2 linked regions of the Anolis sagrei genome follow. The protein of the gene in region 1 interacts with the protein of each later gene in a biochemical or structural test. Links are inferred from orthologs where the notes say so. Each region holds a gene or a part of one and is shown on either strand. Other genes may lie near its edges.

What was found.
Region 2: the proteins of VCPIP1 (region 1) and WAC form a complex in vitro, tested with the Homo sapiens proteins (2 studies listed by BioGRID). The link is inferred for Anolis sagrei from reciprocal best matches to the Homo sapiens genes VCPIP1 and WAC.

Annotation. Positions count from the first base shown.
Region 1 is NC_090024.1:45,411,135-45,415,046, forward strand, and holds the start of VCPIP1 (deubiquitinating protein VCPIP1), read left to right. Parts: upstream 1-866; 5' UTR 867-1,129; coding exon 1,130-3,818; intron 3,819-3,912. UniProt on the Homo sapiens protein: Deubiquitinating enzyme involved in DNA repair and reassembly of the Golgi apparatus and the endoplasmic reticulum following mitosis. Necessary for VCP-mediated reassembly of Golgi stacks after mitosis.
Region 2 is NC_090026.1:110,880,725-110,884,636, forward strand, and holds the start of WAC (WW domain-containing adapter protein with coiled-coil), read left to right. Parts: upstream 1-1,254; 5' UTR 1,255-1,567; coding exon 1,568-1,608; intron 1,609-1,741; coding exon 1,742-1,778; intron 1,779-3,912.

The sequences.
Region 1 (3,912 bases):
ATGTGGTATTTTTAGCCTAGATATTTTGGGCTATAAGGCTGTGTGGAAGGGCCCTTGGTTATCTGAACCCACACTGCCATATATCCCAGTTCAAAGTGGGATTTTTTGCCTTGATATTCTGGGATATAGGACTGTGTGGAAGGGCCCTTGGTTACCTGAGTCCACAATGCCATATATCCCAGTTCAAAGCAGATAATGTGGGATTTTTAGCTTTGATATTCTGGGCTACAGCGCTGTGTGAAAGGGCCCTTGGCTATCTGAGTCCACACTGCCATATATCCCAGTTCAAAGCGGGATTTTTCGCCTTGATATTCTGTGATATAGGACTGTGTGGAGGGGCCTTTGGTTACCTGAGCCCACACTGCCATATATCCCAGTTCAAAGCAGGATTTTTTGCCTTGATATTCTGGGATATAGGACTGTGTAGAAGGGCCCTTGGCTATCTGAGTCCACACTGCCATATATTCCAGTTGAAAGCAGATATTGTGGGATTTCCCACCTTGATATTCGGGGCTATAGGACTGTGTGGAAGGGCCCTGAGCCCACCCTGCCATATGTCCTAGTTCAAAGCAGATACTGTGGGCTTTCCCGCCTGGACCTTCTGGGCTGGAGGGCTGTGTAGTGGAGGGCCCCCTGGCTGCTCCCTTCTCTGCCCCCTGCGCGGCCTTCACGGAGAAGGAACGCGCCGCCGACGTCACTCTCCTCACGGCAACCAACTCCCGAGGAACGCCGAGGAGCATTCTGGGAAACGTATTCCCTTTCAACGCGGGGAGGGGAAGAACTACACTTCCCAGGCTCGTTTTGGTTCCTGCGCCGCGTTGCATGACGGTCCTCGTAGTTGTGCGCCTTGCGCGGCGCCGTTGGGATGACAGCTACTTCCGGCGCGGAGGGGACTACAATTCCCGTGGTGGGCGTCGAAGGAGAAGGGGAAAGGCCGTTAAGTCGGGCAGTGAAGAGGCAGTTAGTTGGCGGAAGGAAGGAAGGAAGAGAGGAAGCAAGGAAGCGGAGGCCGGTTCTGTCAGGTTCTGTCAGGTGTTGAAGGGAGAAGGAAGGAAGGAAGGGGGAGAGAGGGAATGAGCCCGTGAGGGGGCGAGAAGGCCGGGGAGAGAGCGGAGCGAGGCGGGAAGCGATGTCTCAGCCGCCTCAGCCGGACCCGCCGGCGGCCTCCTCTTCCTCTTCCTCGTCGTCGTCGTCGAAGCGCGACCGGCGCATCTTCTCGGGGACGTGCCCGGAGCCCAAGTGCGGGGCGCGGCTGTTCTTCCCGGCGGTGCAGGGGGGCCCGCTGAGCGCCGGGAGCGTGGAGTGCACGGACTGCGGGCGGCGGCACGAGGGGCGGCAGCTGCTCTCCGTGGAGGAGGTCACCGACCCGGACCTGGTGCTGCACAACCTGCTCCGGAGCGCACTGCTGGGCGTGAGCGGGGCCGGCCCCCCGCGGAAGAGCACCGAGCCCGTCAAAGTCATGGGCCTGTCCAACTACCACTGCAAGCTGCTCTCCCCCATCCTGGCCCGCTACGGCATGGACAAGCAGACGGGCAAGGCCAAGCTGCTGACCGAGATGAAGCAAGGCGACGTCTTCGACTGCAGCCTGCTGGGCGACCGGGCCTTCCTCATCGAGCCCGAGCACGTGGACACTGTGGGCTACGGCAAGGACCGCTCCGGCAGCCTGCTCTACCTGCAGGACACGCTGGAGGACATCCGCCGGGCCAACCGCAGCCGGGAGGAGTGCCTGGTCCCGGTGCACGTGGACGGCGATGGGCACTGCCTGGTCCACGCCGTCTCCCGGGCGCTGGTGGGCCGGGAGCTCTTCTGGCACGCCCTGCGGGAGAACCTCAAGGCCCACTTTGTGGAGAACCTGGCCCGCTACAAGGTGCTCTTCCACGACTTCATTGACGCCGCCGAGTGGGACGACATCGTCAACGAGTGCGACCCGCTCTTCGTGCCCCCCGAGGGCGTCCCCATGGGCCTGCGCAACATCCACATCTTCGGCCTGGCCAACGTCCTGCGCCGGCCCATCATCCTCCTGGACTCCCTCAGCGGGATGCGCAGCTCGGGCGACTACTCCGCCACCTTCCTGCCCGGCTTGGTCCCGGAGGAGAAGTGCACGGGGAAGGACGGCACGCTCAACAAGCCCATCTGCATCGCCTGGAGCAGCTCGGGGCGTAACCATTACATCCCCTTGGTGGGGATCAAAGGTGCTGCTTTGCCGAAGTTGCCTCTGAAACTGCTTCCCAAAGCGTGGGGAGTGCCTCAGGACCTTATCAAGAAGTACATCAAGTTGGAAGAGGACGGCAGCTGCGTGATTGGAGGGGATCGGAGTTTGCAAGACAAGTACTTGATGAGGCTCGTTGCCGCCATGGAGGAAGTGTTTATGGATAAGCACGGCATTCACCCGAGTTTAGTGGCCGACGTACATCAATATTTCTACAGACGAACTGGTGTAATTGGAGTTCAGCCTGATGATGTTACGGCCGCCGCTAAAAAAGCCGTGATGGACAACCGCCTTCACAAGTGTCTGATCTGTGGTGCACTTTCAGAACTCCACGTTCCTCCCGAGTGGTTGGCTCCAGGGGGGAAACTGTATAATCTAGCAAAAACTACCCATGGCCAGCTAAGACCAGACAAAAACTACAGTTTCCCCCTTAATAGCTTAGTGTGCTCCTATAACCCTGTGAAGGATGTACTTGTCCCAGACTATGGTCTGAGTAGCCTGACTGCTTGTAATTTGTGCCATGGCACCTTGGTGCGTCGTGTGAGGAGTGATGGCTCTGTTGTGTATTTGGATGGGGATAGAACAAATACTAAATCCACAGGTGGCAAATGTGGCTGTGGATTTAAGCATTTTTGGGAAGGCAAAGAGTATGACAATCTCCCCGAAGCTTTCCCTATTACTTTGGAGTGGGGCGGGAGAGTGGTGAGAGAGACCGTGTACTGGTTCCAGTATGAGAGTGATCCATCTCTGAACAGCAATGTATATGATGTTGCAATGAAACTTGTTACTAAGCATTTTCCGGGAGAATTTGGGAGCGAGATTCTTGTCCAAAAGGTTGTTAATACAATTCTACATCAGACGGCCAAAAAGAACCCCGATGATTATACCCCTGTAAACATTGATGGTGCTCATGCCAGAAGAGCTGATGATGTGCAACAAGGGCAGGACTTGGAATCTCAGCTTCCAACTAAAATTATTCTTACGGGACAGAAAACAAAAACGCTGCACAAAGAAGAGTTGACCATGAGTAAGACCGAAAGAAGCATTCAGCAAAACATTGCAGAGCAAGCGCCTATAATGCAGAAGCGGAAAACGGACAAATTGAAACAGGTGCAGAAAGGGCCAACTCGAACTACTTCCCCAGGTGCTGTCCCTGACGGGTCATCTTCTGCACCCGCTACCCCAACCAAGACTCCTTATTCCCCAACATCTACAAAAGAAAAGAAAATACGTATAACAACAAATGATGGGCGGCAGGCCATGCTCAATTTGAAGTCCACAACAACATTTGTCGAATTGCAAGAGAGCATTGCTAGAGAATTTAGTATTCCTTCCCATTTGCAGTGTATCCGTTTTGGCTTCCCTCCCAAAGAGCTTTTGCCACCCAAAGAAGGGCAGGAAAATGAACCTGTTCCTCTGCTGCATGGAGATAGAATAACTGTAGAGATCCTAAAAGGGAAGGAGGATATTAGCCAGACGACTTCAGTGCACTCAGCCCATGCTGTGAAACATGATGATGTTGCAGTAACTAGTAAAATTTCTTCCAAGGAACTCCAGGAGCAAATTGACAAGGAGATGTATTCTTTGTGTCTTCTAGCAACATTTATGGGTAAGTAAACCTCAGCTTTCCTTCCTAGGATTTAGAAACATCCCTAAATCTTGAGTATATAAAACTAGAAAGACAGAGTTTGAACATCTGAAGT
Region 2 (3,912 bases), on another chromosome or scaffold:
AAAGCCATGGTATTCCCTGTAGTAACCTACGGATATGAGAGCTGGACCTTAGGGAAGGCTGAGCGAAGGAAGATAGATGCTTCTGAGCTGTGGTGCTGGAGGAAAGTGCTGAGAGTGCCTTGGACTGCGAGAAGATCCAACCAGTCCATCCTCCAGGAAATAAAGCCCGACTGCTCACTGGAGGGAAGGACACTAGAGACAAAGTTGAAGTACTTTGGCCACATCATGAGGAGACAGCAAAACCTAGAGAAGACAATGATGCTGGAGAAAGTGGAAGGCAAAAGGAAGAGGGGCCGACCAAGGGCAAGATGGATGGATGGCATCCTTGAAGTGACTGGACTGACCTTGAAGGAGCTGGGGGTGGTGACGGCCGACAGGGAGCTCTGGCGTGGGCTGGTCCATGAGGTCACAAAGAGTCGGAGACGACTGAACGAATGAACAACAACAACACACCGATTTGAATCCTACCCACAGGAGAAAAGCGGGATACAAATAAATAAATAAATAAATAAATAAATAATAATAATTATTATTATTATTAAGTGCAGGCCAAGGTCTTTAGGCACTGCACCCAGTGTGCTGATCACCACTGGGACCACTTATTATTATTATTATTATTATTATATGCTATTATTATTATTATTATTAATATTATTATTATTAGATACACAACAAGATTAGTACACAGTAAACAAGACAGAGGGTAATTTTGTCAGCGCCGATTGTTTTTATTATCATAATCACCATTTAATTGCTTTGTATTGTATTTGTTATTGCTTGTTTTGCTTGTATTGTTGTATTGTGGGCTCGGCCTCATGTAAGCTGCACCGAGTCCCATGGGGAGATGGTAACGGGGTATAAATAAAGTTTATTATTATTATTATTGGTAGTAGTAGTAGTAGTAGTAGTCTTCGCCCGTCTCTCGGCTCTTTCCGGAAACACCCGATGCCTTTCCCCGGCGAAGAAGGCAGGAGCGGAGAGAGCCGACGTCGCCCGAAAAGCAGGGCTTGGTCCGGAAAATACCGAAGATGAGTAGAAGGCGTGTCTTCTTCAAACCCGAAGGGGGAGGGATCGGCTGGTGTCCGGAAGCGGCCGAGGATACCCGAAGTGCGAAGCCGCGAAAAGAGGAAGGCAGGCGGAGGAGAGGGAGGAGCTTGGGCGGAAAGAGCCGAGCGGAGCCGACGTTTGGCGAAGGCGTCGTCGCTTGAGTTTCCCGGATGTAGTTGGACGGCGGTAGTGTTGGGAGCAGTGACTGAGGGAGAGGGAGGAGGAGGAGGAGGAAGGAAGGAGGAGGGGGGAGGAGACGGTGGTGGCGGCGGCGGGAGGGGGGAGACGTCGTCGTCGTCGTCGCCGCCTTCGCCTTCCTTCCTTCTGCGTTGCGTTTCCGCGTTGCGTTCCGTTGGGCGGCGAGGCGATGGGCCCGTGAGCGCCGCTGGGCCTCTCTCCTCCTCCTCCTCCTCCTCCCTCCCCTTCCTCCTTCCTTCCTTCCCCGTCCGTGGCCCAGCCGCGCCCTCCTCCTCCTCCTCCTCCTGGTCCCCTCAGTCTCTCTCTCACAGGCCGGGCATTGATGGTAATGTATGCGAGGAAACAGCAAAGACTCAATGATGGGTAAATAAGCCCCCGTCCTCCATCTTCCTCGCCCCCCCCTTCCCTCCCCCTTCCTCCCCTCCCTCTCTCCCAACCGCCAGTAACGGCCACTCTCTCGCTAACGCCACTGTTTCTCTTTTTTCTCTCCCTTCAGCTGTCACGACCGCAAGGGGGACTCGCAGCCCTACCAGGTACCTCCTTCGCCGCCGCCGCAGCGGAGTGTGGGAGGAGGGCCGGCCGCAGCTACTCCAGCGCAGGCTTGGCCCGCCGCTCTAGGCCGCAAAGGGCCTCGGCCTGCTTCCTGGGCCGCGCGAACAAGGGGAGGGAGGGAGGAAGGGGCGGCCTCCAACGGGAAGGGGGGGAGCGAGAGAGGCCTAGCGCCCCGGATCTGAGCCCAGGTCGTTTCTGTTTATCCCGGACTATCTTGCACTGTGGGCTCCTATAACCCAGTTTCAAGCAGACCACCTGGGATCAGATCCTGAGATAGAGGGTCCGTCTGGAATGACCCGTAGATAGGTCTTTTTTTCTTTTTGGGGAGGAGGGGGCGTTCCCCCCCCCCCTTTAAATTAACACAGCAGTGTGAGGCAATAGCTTAGAACAGGCATTCCTAACAGCCATGGCAGTTCCAAGTGGTGCATAAATTCAATATCATGGGCAAACTTCAGCCCTCTTGGTGTTTTGGGCTGCAGATCGCACCCTTCCTAACAGCCATGGCAGTTAAAGTGGTGGCCGACTGCATAAATTCAGTGACATGGGCAAACTTTGGCCCTCCAGGTGTTTTGAACTGCAGCTCCCACCATTTCTAACAGCCATTGGTGTCCAACTGCATAAATTCAATGACACAGGCAAACTTTGGCCCTCCTGGTGTTTTGTACTGCAGCTCCCACCATTCCTAACAGCCATGGCAGTTCAAGTGGTGTCCGACTGCATAAATTCAATGACACAGGCAAACTTCGGCCCTCCTGGTGTTTTGGACTGCAGATCCCACCACTCCTAACAGCCATGGCAGTTCAAGTGGTGGCCGACTGCATAAATTCAGTGACACGGGCAAATTTCAGCCCTCCTGGTGTTTTGGACTGCAGATCCCACCATTCCTAGCAGCCATGGCAGTTAAAGTGGTGTCCGACTGCATAAATTCAATGACATGGGCAAACTTCGGCCTTCCGGGTCTTTTGGACTGCGGATCCCACCATTCCTAACAGCCATGACAGTTCAAGTGGTGTCCAACAGCATAAATTCAATGAAATGGGCAAACTTTGGCCCTCCAGGTGTTTTGGACTGCAGATCCCACCACTCCTAACAGCCATGGCAGTTCAAGTAGTGTCCAACGGTATATATTCAACGGTGTGCCTACATCAGACATGGGCACACTTGGGCCCTCCATGTCTTTTGGATTTACACTCTCATAGCTCCTTATAACTTCGGGCCCCTTCCTTTCCTCCCTCGGCCACTTAAGTGGCTGAGGGGGGAAAGGAGGGCCTGTGGCTGTTAGGAATGATGGGAGTAGAAGTCCAAAACACCTGGAGGGCCAAAGATTGCCTATGCCTGGGCTAGAAATTAAAACTGCCCCCCCCCTTATTTATTTCTAACCCTCTCCTCAAATTTAATAAAGGGTAAGTTCTATCCAAGAGAACTGTTGTTGTCCCTTGCCACCGCCCTTTCCTGGCCCCCAACTACACTGCAGCTTCTCATGCAGTTTCAGACTGTATCATATGGTCAGGGTACATTCATTCAGTGCAGCTGAGCTCACTACAACAGGCATGTGCAAACTTTGGCCCTCTTAGAAATTATGGGAGTTGAAGTCCAAAACACCTGCCAGGCCAAAGTTTGCACATGCCTGCACTACACTGTTAAGAGTGCTGTTATTCCACTTTAAATCCCATGCCTGCCGCCTCTGGATTCCTGGGATGTGCACTTTAGGGAGGGGTCTTCAAAATTCCAAACTGGATGTGTCCTGGGCCTCATTACGTACAAAGGCCAGAATTCCACAGGGGGCTGTCATAGGATTTAAAGTGGAACAACAGTGCTTCAACAGTGTAATGTGATAATTTATATAAGTCTATATCAGGCATGGGTAAACTTCAGCCCTCCAGGTGTTTTGGGCTTCAACTTCCATAATTTCTGACAGCCAGTAACTTCCATTATTCCTGACAGCCGGTAGGCTGTTAGGAAGTGTGGGAGTTGAAGTCCAAATCACCTAGAGGGCTGAAGTTTGTCCATGCCTGGTCTACAATCATAGAACTATAGAGTTGGAAGAGACCTTGTGGGCCATCCAGTCCAACCCTCCCAAGTAGCAGGAAAATCTCATTCAAAGCATCCCCGTTT